2 linked regions of the Lytechinus pictus genome follow. The protein of the gene in region 1 purifies or fractionates together with the protein of each later gene. This does not show direct contact. Links are inferred from orthologs where the notes say so. Each region holds a gene or a part of one and is shown in the gene's direction. Other genes may lie near its edges.

The links. Proteins that work in one complex are often made in the same cells at the same time.
Region 2: the proteins of receptor tyrosine-protein kinase erbB-4-like (region 1) and growth factor receptor-bound protein 2-like purify together in Drosophila melanogaster (affinity purification with western blotting; 4 studies listed by BioGRID, with this or other methods). This does not show direct contact. The link is inferred for Lytechinus pictus from reciprocal best matches to the Drosophila melanogaster genes Egfr and drk.

The regions. Positions count from the first base shown.
Region 1 is NC_087245.1:2,233,292-2,240,422, forward strand, and holds the start of receptor tyrosine-protein kinase erbB-4-like, read left to right. Parts: upstream 1-4,119; coding exon 4,120-4,192; intron 4,193-4,515; coding exon 4,516-4,878; intron 4,879-6,061; coding exon 6,062-6,199; intron 6,200-6,513; coding exon 6,514-6,579; intron 6,580-7,000; coding exon 7,001-7,119; intron 7,120-7,131. UniProt on the Drosophila melanogaster protein: Receptor tyrosine kinase, binding ligands of the EGF family and activating several signaling cascades to convert extracellular cues into appropriate cellular responses. Known ligands include spitz, gurken, vein and giant-lens.
Region 2 is NC_087254.1:17,166,854-17,174,505, forward strand, and holds the start of growth factor receptor-bound protein 2-like, read left to right. Parts: upstream 1-4,628; 5' UTR 4,629-5,109; coding exon 5,110-5,193; intron 5,194-7,652.

The DNA.
Region 1 (7,131 bases):
GACCGTAGACTTAGTACGCTGGTAGAAAATTATGCTTTACAGTGACACAAATACAATAAATGTTTGTTAAATCATGTTGTCTTTGATAAAATACTAATGATGTTTTTGGGAAGTATTTAGAGATTGAGAATAATAGAATCATCCTCTTCTTTTTGGTAAGGTAGGAAAATTTGTATGTACATGTAGAGCATTGGAAGGGTCCATTCGAGATTTGGCAACATCATTCAGTGTGTTCACTGTCATGTCGTATGACTAAGTTTTAAAAAAATCAAATGAACTTTGGTGTACGAGTGTCAGCTCTGCCAAAGAGCCTAAAATCTTTTAAACTTACGCTTTGAAGACCCTTATATAGACATAGCAATAAGTGTTGACAATGACAATCACCAGAATTCTATAGTTCTATGAGATGTTATATTCTACTAGGAGAAGCTTAGAAGGAAACACACTGAACAGTATACTCTGAGTAGAAATCCTTGATGGAATTGCGATAGATACTCTATAGCAGCTCGTGGCTGTATACCTCCAAAAATAAAGTGATACCGAACACCCAAGATGTGTAAATAATACACCCATCTAAGGTACCACCAGCCCCAAGCCATTCTCACCCCCCTTGTCATACCCCCTTCATCTTGCCTTCAGCTATGGCTTTAGCTTTCACTTATGCACCAGTGATGGTTTGATTTGAAAATAATTCATCTTTTCTTGTGGTTGGCCCACTGTATTCATTTAGGGTATCGTGTGTTGTAATCAAACAGTGACACATTCGTAGAAAGTACACGGCTTTCATTATTACCAGCGCATTAAATCCCGGTAAGCAGTGAAATTTATTTTCTTGCCCCCATTTCATTCCTAGAAATATTTGACTCTCAATTTTTAAAGTGTGAGTAATGATATTGAGTCCTTGGGATGTGGAATAGATGCCCTTTTCTTTGTAAATAATACTTTGTCTTTTTATTAAAATGTCACATTTGAAACGAAGGTCTTGTACCCAAGTGCGTTTCAAATTGTAAAAGTAAATTTGAGCTAGGAAAACGAGGAAAAAAACTTCATCAGCAAAGCTGTTGTGGTGTAGGCCTGTATGCTGACAAAAACCTTCAATACACATAACGTAGAAGTACTATGATGACTTTTTGATACAACACAACATCGACCTCTGTGGAATTTAGGTCAGCATGAGGTCGTGTGGGGTCATTGACCAACTTTCCTTCATGGGGGGGGGGGGGGGAGTGATTGACATCTGATCTCGTCATATATGATAAGCGGGGTTCATTAAGAAAGTGATCATTAGTGAGATCATTTGTCAAATCTAAGGCCATTTATTCTTCTGGGAAATTTGTTCATCTTCTATTGCTCCATTCCTGAGATGTTGAATAACTACCAGTCTCTATCTCAGAAATCATTTGATTACTTGTTGATAAGCAGAGACATCAGAAAATTCATAAATTATCCTTCCTGATATTCGTTTGATGGGAAGACTGCAAGGTTCTGAAAAGGCATGACAGGCCAAAATTCTATTCAGTAATGGAAGTATTTTGCGCGATATATTTCAATTTTGGCTCATTCTGAAGTTATTTAGTCATATGTGGTCAGTAGATTTTTCATTGCTTGTTATTTAAATAGAAATATCACTAAGGTTTATTGCATACTGACTTAGAAGAACTTTCAAAGCATCTTCTTCTGGTCATATATATAAAATTCGAGAGGTCTTCTGAATGTACATATATTAAAAGATGAGTGAGAAGGTTATAGTGAGAATGAGAGATGCATTAAATTGTTACATGTACACAAAACAGCTAAAACAGCACCATAAGTAGATGAAAGTATACAAAACAGAAACTCTACAGTGATATTTTACCCAGTATTTGTAAAAATTCATGCCTCCTCAATGTCTCCTTGATGTCTCAATGTTCCCAAACAGAGAATTTCAACATACCTTCTTGACCCCTTGTCTTTCAAGACCCTAGATATCAAGTAACAACTTGAATGTCAGATACTTTACTCTTCTGTGTATGACCCAAGAAGTTTTTAATGGATGACTCAACTTTAGGTTGCCATGGTACTACAGCTATGTTACAAGAGGGCCAAGTATTTAGTGAGGTTTTGTTACATTCTTGTCTGACCTGCTATGACCTTTGACCTTGGGGTTGTTGATGATATGTTGATAATTAGAACTTGATACTGGGAGTTGTCCCATCCTATTTGGGTTTTATTTGCAAGTGTTTTTGCAGTGTCTTCTGTTAATTTGATGTGATTCATGTTACTTCTTGTAGTGGCTATTGCACATTCTGTTTCAACAAACTAGACCGATACCTGATGCCTGTAATGTAAGCCCTATATGAATTGTACCCCTCTCTTCCCCCCAACAATATGGGTCCTTGACAAGTCGTATTCTGGCAGGAAAACTTACGAATTGCAATGTTTTTACATTGCATCTCTATAATGTAAAACCATGTAGGTCCATATTGGTTTCAGCCTACATCTCATATGTTAAAACATATTCACACAGTGATGAAGTAAAATAAGTAAAGTATAAAGCTTACATCAATTAAAAATAATGGACACATGGAAGTAAGGAAAATAAAGATAATGTGGAAATTAAATTCAAGTTACCCAATTAAATTTGAAAAGAGGTGCTTCAATCGCAGTTTAATAAGCAAAGATTTTGTAGTGACTTTGTAAAACTATTATGGATATGTAGGAACCTAGAACACCTTTGTATGGAAGAATGCAGTCAGATATTATTGAGAGCCTTCTTGGGTGATGGATTTGTGAATATAATTCTGTTTTTAGACATTCAACCCCTTGTTTAGACTTTGTTTTACCAATTTCAAGATCAATTGATGGTGGCATCCCCAGGTTAACATTACAACAGAAGAGATGAAATCATATTTTCTCTTTTCTAGCCCAATTTAGTGTTGTAAATCTTTTGAGGTAAAACACCTGTAAGAAATGCCAGATCGTACAAGTTCAGAGGTTAGGCTCGATAGCTGTAGGGGTAAAGGGGCATGTCCCCCTCTCCCATTTTACTCCAACCATCCACTATCTTTCAATATGAGCTGTCATGCAGTGAGTGACACACTTAACTGTTTCTTTTCATGTTTGCGTTAAAAAAATATGACACCATTTAAAATGTATCCATCTTATTTTCACAGTTTGTTCCTTTATATCAAAAGTTTGATAGGTTTGCAAACACTTTTGTCTCAACATGAATGATGTTTGTAGTAATACAGATTTACAGAAATATACACCAAAATCGTGACTGACCCCCCCCCCTCCCTTTCACCCACCACCAAAATGCATCAATTTTTCATTTGTTTAAATGATGGTTTGATTTTTAAATGTTCATCCCAAATCAAAGTACACCTGGACATGCCCTCTTTGACATAGCTGGTTTTGACCCATATCAGGCAATCATAGTGTAAAGCAACCCCAATATCAAAGTCAGGTATCAAGGGATTGCCACTTTGACGTAATACCAAATAAATGACCCACTTTTCACAGATCCTAAGCTAATCTCACTGAAAATGATATGAGTATTATATTTTGAAGGCTATAATTATATGGATGCAAAATCAGTATCAATTGGTACTGGCTTTTATGTTTTGTAATTACAGGTTTTTTTTTGTAACCACATTGGCATTTTCACAAGGTTATGATTACTAGTATTCACACTTTAATTTTTAGCATACAAAGATATATGAAAGGCAGGAACAATTTCTGACCAAATAGTTTCTTCATAAAAAACAGGCAATTTTTTTTATAATAGCTGAAACATTTATAGATTTTAACTCAGATAATGTCAAATTATGGAAAATTACTTCACTTTGTTTGCAGCATGTGCCCTTTCACTTTAGATTATACGATTTAATAGAAATATGAATCAATTATAGTGTAATGAATAGGAAACATAAATTTTGTAATTCTAATACCTGGAAGACAGAGTTTACTAGTATTACTTTACCTGTGATTAGGTTTATGTTTTACCTGTGAAAACTGGTTTCTGGCAGGTACTTGTCTCTGGTGTGTTTTCTGAGTATCTAAACACAGGTTTCAATCAAAATATGAAACACATCAAAGATAGAATGATGTGATATTTTGATACCAGTATTCCCAATTGGTATGGATTGGAATGTAGTAGAACAAGCTCAATGGAACAAGCTCAGCAGAGACTCACACAGCAGTTTGTGCCTGGGTGAGTGGAGGGGAGGAGGGAGGTGGGGGGGGGGGGTGGGGTGGAGAGGAGGAGGGAGGGAGGGGGGTGCAGAGGGAAATAGTGTGCATTATGATCAATATAGCTCAGGCAAGTGTGGTTATAATGATCAATGCTAAAGATATGCTGTTTTAGGGGTTTAAGTTGTATTATTTTCCGAATACAATAAAAAATAATTTCTGTATGCTCTATTCTCATTCACAGTGCCTACATTTAGTTGTGACCTTCCCCTTAATCCATGCTATAGAATTGAAATTTGTCATACCAGTATTTAATTTGTTTCTTTTGTTTTTATCTTCTTACAGTATGTACTGGCACAGATCAAGGTACCGCTAAACCATACAACAGCGATACTGCCGGAGCAAGGCAACAGTACTATGAAGATTTAAAGGAAAGATATACAAACTGTACATACGTTGACGGAAACCTGGAAATATCCTTTCTCCATGAGCAAGAATATGATCTTAGCTTTCTCTCATCGATACGGGAAGTCACAGGATATATTCTCATTCTCTTGACGTATTCCCGGGTGATACCGCTCACAAACTTACGGGTTATCAGAGGAACAAAGCTTTACGACGACAAGTACGCCCTCTATGTTGCATTGACGTTTCATACAGGAGATCCAGAAATAGCTACAGAAGAGATTTGGTTAACATCATTACATGGTAAGTCTATTGATAGCTATGTACCTAGTTATTATTTGTTGTCATACTTTGTTCATGTATTATTTTTGGGGTTTTGGTTTTTATTTAAAGTTAAAAACTTAAAAGATAAATATTCTATTAATGATGGGAATGTTTCCTGGATCCACATCGGCTCCTGAATAGCAGAAGTGAATAATATGAAAAATCAGCCAAGTTGAATGAAACAATTTCCAGAGATTCTGAAATAGCCTTGGGTAAAAGAAATAGACAATGAGTGTTGAATTGGTTATTGGTCTAATCTCACTCTGTCTAATTCTATGCTATCAATAAGAAGTCTTGATATCTAGCTGCTCCTTGGCCCATGCACCATTTTGGTATATATTTGAAATATTTCCATTGGTCTAAAACCTCTTTGTCTCTATGGTTTTATGAGCTAGAAGACCACAGGAGAAACACCAAATAGGTTTTTGACAATGGGGTAGTTCATTCAAACAGGTAGTGACCAGTATTTCATAAAAGGTGTTTAACACAAAAAAGCATAATGGGGTTTAAACATCCTCCTTGGTTCTTTAAGCACACTAAAATATTGGGAATATTCAAATGATGCCTATGTGTACATTTAGGGAGAATAAAATTGGATCAGATTCAGCATTTCAGCATGGGGCATCCTTAAAAACAAAGGCGAGGTAATATCTATGGTACACTTAAATTCTCAGCTGTGATATCAGATCAATGATTTTTGCTACGCTGATGTTTTTGACATGATCTGAACTGTCACATACTTCTTCCATAAATCCCAATCAAACGCTCGTATCGATGAATGATGATTAAACCAGGCGCGGATCCAGGGGGCACGTGCCCCCTTCCTTTTGAGAAGCAAAATTAAAAATTTGTAATGTAAAAATGCCATGAAAACAGAGGTGTGGCCCCTCTTTTGAAATTGAACACCTTTTTTTTTGGCTTGTCAAATTTTTTCGGGTACGAAATATCCTTAATTTGTTGTTGAAAACCTTTTTTTTTTTGGGGGGGGGGGGGCTTGTCAAAATTTTCCTCCGAAAAATTCCCCCCCCCCCTTTGGAAAATCCTGGATCCTCCCCTGATTAAACATACTGATTTTAAGATTAAAAAAGGAATTCAATCATATTAATCATGGTTTCATTCAATTTTTAAACTAGTATTGCTAAAATTGTGTTTTTTCTTGCAGAAATCTTGAAAGGAGATGTATACTTTCATCAGAATAATCAACTGTGCTATGTACAGACCATTGCCTGGGATGACATGCAACCTGGTTTGGTAGCCAACTTCTCAGTATGGGATGAACATCCACAACGTAACTGCTTAGGTGAGGACTATTTCATGTGCTTACAGCAAGAAAGGCATTAGCTACTTAGAAAGATAAACTTATTTTGCTCTTTAAATCTGTTAGTTGAGAAAATTTTTAAATAATGATACATAGGGACGTTGTCTCTGAGTATTTTAAAGATTACTAATGCAGTCATTGTATTCTATATGGTATACATATCCATAATTTTTATTTATGGAATGCAAGTACTTCTTTTATACACAATTTGATATGTGCAAGGTCAGTGCCACTTCCTCTTGTTAAAGTAATTTATAATTATTAATGTTTATCTTTGTTCATCTTCTTTTACACAGAACACCAATGTCATGAATCATGCAAGGGTCGATGCTGGGGTCCAGGAGAGGACCATTGTCAGATATGTGAGTAGACAATGTAATACATCATCATTCTCCTCAGTTATTTATTCATAATATGAAGATATTAAGCTCTATACATTTTGGTCCATTGAAATAGATAATATTTGAAATATTTCTAGAAGAATAAAGGGAAGCTGTTTCAATTGATTTTGCATTATTATTTTCTCCAAATCACTCAAAACTTTATTATCAGTCAATAACTTTGATCTATGGTTTGTATGTTTGAAAAGATAAAGCATGACATTTTTTTGCAGGAAGGTAAATTCTCGTCTTGTCACAAATGCTGAATGAAAGGCATTCTGTCATCTAACCTATAATACTGGAAATTTCTTTTTGTGAGTAAATGTCTAAATTTGTCCATGGATTTTACTTTTCATGTCTTGGTACACATAAATATTAAGTCTTTCCCTTTTCCTCTCTATAGTAACGCTAAAAGATTGCAGCTCAACATGCGACTACCGTTGTCGAGGTCCTACTCAGGCGGACTGCTGCCACAGAAGTTGCGCTGGGGGTTGCACCAATTCTTCTAATGCTGGATGTCTGGTGAGTTTGAAC
Region 2 (7,652 bases), on another chromosome or scaffold:
TGAGTTTTGCGATATTTTCTTCTTGGACTTGGACTTGGTTAATGATCTAGAAATTATGTTTGCCACAAATTAGTGAAAGATATTTGTTGAAATATTAAAATTGGGATAGTTTTTATTGTTTGAAAACAAAGTGCGTAGCTTAAGTTTAGGTCCCTCCATCATATATTTCATTATTCTAAAAGTCATCATCATTGGTACGTCCTCAACTCGACTACATTGCCTCATGCGCATGAATTAAACGAGGCGAGCAGCTGGCGTAGCGGCGGCGGCTGGCGCTGGCGCAGCTGCGCAGCCAGGGCCGAGGGATGCCGAGTTCGAGAAGTTGACGGAGAATCAAACTTACCGTCTCATAATCGCTGTTTTCTTCTTCACTTTCGCTGCCACTGGCGCTGCTACTAGCACTACTCCCCATGTTGTCCCCAACAGGGTGCTTTAGAGAGAAGGCTACTAACTATACTGCAGATACTTTCTTTAAATCACCTCAATACAACATCCTCCAAAAATTCTGCATTCAGATTATATTATGACAAGGGCGCAGACATTTTGAATGACGTAATATTGTTCAGCTCGCGCTAGATCGTAGCGCGCGCAATCCAGCTTGAGTCCGGAGTGCGCTAGGCGGATCCAGGAGGGCGAGGGGCCGCCGCCACCGCCCCCCCCCCCCCCCCCCCCACTGATCTAGAGCTCAACTAACAGTTGGGCCGCCCCATGGGCCGCCCCCCGGGGGGCCTATTAACGGCGCAACAAAAAAATAAAAGAGGGGGGGGGAGAAACAGATATTGAAGGGTCATTAAGGAGAGGAGAATTGAAGGAAGAAGAAAAATATAAGAGGAGGAAGACGAGTACATAATATAGGTGAGGGCGGCCGGGCCGCGGGATCGAAGACTTGGAAAAAAAATTAATGTCAGTATGAAAAAAAGCGCTTCGTGCTCGCATTGCCAGTCATTTACTGATGAGATACATATAGGCGATCATAGGCTGAAATGGTGCTTAATAGCACCATTTCACGGTCATGCAAATAGGCCTGTTATAGATTGAGATAATCCTTTTCATGAAAATTCACGAGTTCTTAATTATGGAAGTTTAAAGTGCCATCCAGATAATCATCTCATCATGTCTACATCAAGAGGCGTCAATCCGGGAGTGGGGGGGGGGGGGGGCAGCGGGGTGATCGCCCCACCAGGGGGGGGCAAACATATTGTTTTGCCCCCCCCCCCATAATTCCAGATGTGCAAAAATAAAATCACATTGTAATGTTACATAGAAATCGGCAAGTGAGTTTGAAATACAAAAACTCGTTCTTTATATAAAATCGTGCTCAAATTGAATGTCCGCTTTTCAGATTGGAATATAAAAATATTCAGCTCGCGCTTCGCTCTCGCATGATTAAATAGGTGAATAATGTGCCGTTTTCACTTCTATATTAAACCCCAAAAGATCTTTTGTTGGATATATTAATTGTTCTTTATTAAAAACGTCCATTGAACTGTCAATTTTTTCAGATCGAAATATCAAAATTTTCAGCTTGCGCACTTCGCGCTCTTATCTATTGTTCTTTTAGATACCCATCTTAATCTATATTTAGAATATCGAGCTTTCAGCTCCGAATATAACAAAATTCTATCTCTCTCTCGGCACTCGCATTGATCTGTGTAGTGAGATATGTATCCTCCCCGAGTTATACTACAAACAGTCCTAAACAGGTACCTTTTCCTGTTTTTAGGTCAGTATACTAAAAAAATTCAGCCCGCATTCGCGCTCGCATTAATTTGTTGTTGAGATATGTACGTGTCTCTTTCTCATCATGAGACATATACTATATATATATATATATATATATAGGGCCTACAGTGCGTATTAAAAAAACGGGACAGATTTGAAAGGTCTATAAAATTTTTGTTATGATGTCTATATTTTGGTGTTAATAGGTGCTCTGGGGTGGTATTCTGAGATCCATTTTATCTCAGATAAAATAAAATATTTTATCTCCGTTAAAATCAGTGAGATAAAATACCCTTAAAATCTCTCCGAATTGGTATTCTGAGAGCAATTTTATCTTCATTTTATCTATGTAAGACACACCTACTTTTTAATCAATATCCAACTAGAAACGCGCTTTAGCTCTCTCGTGTCACTCTTAAACCAATTGAAATCCATTCCGCCAGGAGGTGTGGCAAAGGGGTGAGATTGCGTTAATTTATCGACTTCAAATACGCTTGCACTATACGCTTGCTCGTCTTTACAGATATTTCTTTTTAACAAAAAGGACAATACTCTCATTTTTTTTCGAAGTCTATATCACATCTTTTCAAGCAACATATCAAAGACAATATTAGTCAAGACAAGTCTTATGAAATACTTCTGATTGTACAGGAATAACGTTAAGGTGTTATTCTCAATAAATATATAATTTTTCTTCATTTTTATGTCAACATTTTAGAAATATTGGTGAAATCAACGTCGCGGAGATAAAATAGCCCCTACCCTCTTTTAAGTTTATTTTATTTTTTTCTTCAAAGTAACTTGGGCGCAAGCACATCATCCGCGTTGCAATACCCAGATACGCGATCGGTATCGTCTACGCAGGCACTGTTCTGATGCGTATCATCTATAGTTACGCAAGATAAATTTTTTATGCAAGATAAAATTGTAAATTTTATCTGAGAGATAAAATGTCATCTCAGAATACCAATTTCGTTTTAAGAGATAAAATAAAATATTTTAAAGATAAAATGACCTCAGAATACCGCCCCTGAAGTCTTATCTTTCAAATGCCATTAAAAAAAATTTAGTTTTGTTCATGCTTTAGCAAACACGGAATGTTTTTGTCTGGGGCTAAAAAAGGAGGCTTGCGCCAAAATGGCATAAAATGATAATGATGATCGGACTTCTCGCTAATCAGCAGATTATCTTTGCCATAATTTTCGAATTATGCCGTCAAAATTCATTTTCAAATCTGTTTATTTGCTTGAATTTGTCTGTTGTTTCTTTTTAATATGTTCTCTTCTAGCTTTAAATTTTCCTTCTTTAAGCAAAAAAAAAAAAATCAACCGAAGTATGGGAGAGTGTGTATTTTTTCAAATCCTTTCATTGTGTGCTACAAAGGTTATGGTGATTTTGAACAGTGGCATACAGATGGGCGGGGGCTCGGGGCGTCCCCCCCCCCCCCCAATAAAAAAAAGTGGAAAGGAAATAAAAGGAAAGATAGAAAGTGAAATATGATTTCTTTCCTGAATATTATGTCAAAATATATCACAAAATTTGATATTTTATTTAAAAAGTGGAAATTTTTGCCTGCTCGCTCACTACTTTTTTAAATACATTTCATCCGATCAGGGGCCCGTTGCAGAAAGAGTTGCAATCAATTGCAACTCGAAAAATCATGCGTAACTTGATTTTCAACCAATCATCAGCGCACATTTGGGACTTGCGATTGATTTTTTGACTTGCGTTTAAACGCAACTCTTTCTGCAACGGACCCCTGCCATTATAGATATCTATAGCTCCTTCAAAATTGACTAAATACACCATTGCCATTGAAAGACGTGAATCCTTTCCTGTTTGTCGGCGTGAATCCTTTCCCGTTTGTCGGCCTGTCAAGCGCATAATTAAACTTGGTCTAAAAAATCCCTTGAAAATAGGATTCATGTTATTTAAAGGTACCATAACATAATTTGTTTCTCATAATAAAATACGATTTGAATAATTACAAGTTCTCCCAATTATAATGCAATCTTCATGCTTGGATTGACAAAAAGTCTTCTTTTCTTACTTATGAAGGAAATTCAAATGTTAAAGAAGTTTCAATGAAAAAAAACCAAAATAATTCAAGTAAATAAGTAAATTTGTAAATGAAATTTGACAGCATATTCGAAAATCATGGCAAAGATAATGAAAAGGTTAAGAGGAAGTCTGATAATTAGCAAGAAGTCTATCATGCAAATTTCTCATTTCTGCCATTTTGGCGCAAGCCTCTCTTTGAACCCCCGACTAAAACGTCCCGTGTTCGCTAAAGCATGACATTTTTTTTTTTTTGGGGGGGGGGCATATTTCAAAGATTGGATTTCAGAGCATCTATTAACATCAAAATATAGATATCATAATTTGAAACAAATTTTTTTATAGACTTTTCAAAACTGTCCCGTTTTTTTTATACGCACTGTATATATAATTATATATATATCATATATTTACATATATACAAATATATGATATATATATATATATACATATATATATATGTATATATGTATATATGTATATATATATATATATATATATATATATATAATATATATATAATATATATATATATATATATATATATATATTTATATATATAAAGAAGACTTATAATATATATATATATATATACCTGAAAAGTGACATCACTCTTCTTCTTCTTCTTCCTCCTCCTCCTACGCTATTTGTTTGTTTCTTCTATTTTCTTTGTTCGTGTTTTTTCCTGGTATGTTTTGTTTCGGTTTCTTATTATGCTACGTACTTTCTGGGTCCTTTTTGAGGACGGAAAGTTCTCGGTAATTTTCGCTTTTATAAATTTTGAGTTCACGGGTACAGGTACGAGGTAGTGCGCGCTGATCGGGCCGCCACGCGCGCAACATGCACACGATTTTAACTTCCGCAAATTACGTAGGTGATCAACACGGTACGGGATCGGGAAACACCGAGAAGTTTCGCAACAAAGTTACAAAAAAACGACTCAGAAACAATAAGGCATGATAAAGTTTCTTCAAGTGGGACCTGTATAGATTCTTCACATTTTGGAAAACAGCAATCGAAGGACTAATGTTACGTTGACGTTCGTTTTGAAGACGTTGAGAGTAGGAATCGCACACTGCCTAGGCGTGTGTACAAACTCATGAACTTATTCTTGTGGTTCTTGTGTTGTGTGGAGTCTCACTCAGCGCATAGAGAAGAGTGTGTAGATTTAGTGCGTGTGCAGCATTGCCATTGGCAGACAAGACAGGCTGCTGTCAGTGTCAGACTGTTGTGAGAGTTTTTTTGTTGTTGGCAGATTAACCTGCAATAAATAGGATCAGTCTGTACGGTATAACATGAACATTCATTGAGCAGGATTTATTGGAAAGTATGGAGTACGTGGCACAATTTGACTTTACGCCATCAAAGGATGATCAGGATGAACTTGGCTTCAAGAAAGGCGAAGTATTGAAGGTAGACCTAACATTGCAAGTTAGATCAGGATTCAGGGCAGCGGTAATCCTAAAGTAATGTGGTTTCACACCGGCTGACTTCGAGCAAATTTCCCCACCAGAAATTGATTGGCCTTGTAATACAATGGTTAGCAATTAATCGCTAAATGAAATGGCCTATCACGATCAGTGTTGCACGTGAATTTTGTTCAGTTGGCTGACAAGGAACCATTCAGAATTGTTCTTTCATATTAGCAATTAATCGCTAAGATTTGTGTTACGGGGCCCTGGATCGGAATTGACCTGTTTCTAAGGCTGTTTCAATCTATTTGGCATTGAAGAAGTGCATTATACAGTGTGAAAGGAAGTCCAGTGGATAGATGTAGACAAGTTAGACTGAGTGATATATCCGCTGTTTCTGAGGATTTTTTAAAAACATTTCAGATTTTTTTCCTACTACTAAGTACTAGGGCTACACAGACGGATGTCGGCCATAGGGCTCATAATGTATGTTCGACCGATGCTAACTACAGTATCTATGGAAAAAAGGGTTCGCTTCCGCATCCTCTTCGATTACTCCTTGGCCTGGGCTGGTTGTCAATGTCTTTAATATTTAACAACACTTTCTATGCCACTACATGTATTTCTAGGTGTGATACGGGATGTGTTTCAAAATATGTTTCAAGAAGAGGAAAGATGGGTCTTGTGTCCTTTTAGCTGCTACCAGGAGTAATTTTCCTGTTATTTCATAGCAATTTTCTCCACATTTTTTTTTCTACACAAAAGGTGTTTAGCAGATACAGTACAGAACATAGTTGGTGTCTTTTCTCTTATGACCAAAAATACTAAGAGAAAAGTCTGTAACTAATTTATTTACAGTGATGTAAAAATCTGCAGTCTTTAGATAAAGGTCAAGTCCACTCCAGAAAAATGTCAATTTTGATAAAAAGAGAAAAATCAAACTAGCATAATGCTGAAATTTCCATCAAATCGGATGTAAAATGACAAAGTTATGACATTTTATAATTTTGTTTACATGTATTTTTCACAAAACAGTAGGCCTACAACTCGGTGTCATGCAAATTAGACAATCGATGATGTCCCTCACTATTTCTTTTGGTATTTATTTCTTGAATTATACATTATTTCATTTTTGTATCACCTGCATAGCATAGTGAGACTACAGGCAACGCTTTTCTGAGGGCGGCGGTGACGTCAACACCAAATCTTAACCGAAGATTAAATTTTTGAAAGGACAGCATAAGTTAGAAAATATATGGACCTAGTTCATGAAACTTGGACATAAAGTTAATCAAGTATTACTGAACATCCTGCCTGAGTTTCAAGTCACATGACCAAGGGCAAAGGTCATTTAGGGTCAATGAACTTTGGCCAAGTTGGGGTATCTGTTGAATTACCATCATAACTTTGAATGTTTATGGATCTGATTTCTGATTCATGAAACTTGGACATTAGAGTAATCAAATATCACTGAGCATCCTGTGCGAGTTTCAGGTCACATGATTAAGGTCAAATGTCATTTAAAGCTAAATGAACGTAGTTGCAGTCAAACACTGATTTTGTGAGAAAGTCTGTAAAACCAAGGTAAAGTATTGATATATCATCGTGGATCTAGATCTGGTACAGTTACATAAACTGAATTTTGTGAAATCATAATATCTAGCTAAAAAACTATCACACTGAAGATCGCCAACACAGATAGGCACACGTGGGACAGTGTATTATTATTGCTGGAATAAAGACCCGACGGAAGTGACCGAATCCGCACTTATTTTGCTTATTTCTCAGCAATTACACAATTTCTTCAAGAATCCTTTGGCACATATTTTTTATTCATACAAACAGACACTTTGGTGATCATTGTATTAAATTCTGTAAAAAGTCATTTTGAGATCATTCCCAAAACTGGAATTTACCTTTAAGGTCAATGAACTTTGGCCAAGTTGGGGGTATTTGTTGAATTACCATCATAACTTTGAAAGTTTATTGGTCTAGTTCTTAAAACCTGGACATAAGAGTAATCAAGTATCACTAAACATCCTGTGCGAATTTCAGGTCACATGACCAAGGTCGAAGGTCAATGAACTTCGGCCATGTTGGGGGTATTTGTTGAATTACCATCATAAACTCTGTAAGTGTATGGATCTAGTTCATAAAACATAAGAGTAATCAAGTATCACTGAGCATCTCCTTTGAGTTTCAGGTCACATGACCAAATTCAAAGGTCATTGAACTTTGGCCATTTTGGAGGTAATTATTAGATTCCTGTTATAACTTTCAGTTTATAGATATACATGTAGTTTATAAATATGGATATCAAGTATCACTGACAAGTCGTAGGTCGCACGATCAAGGTCAAATGTCATTTATTGTAAATGAATGTAGTATTGTATCATATGAATGGTGTTTTTTGTGAATAATAGTAGTTTTCGAAGTCAGCACTGCTGCTATATTGAATCA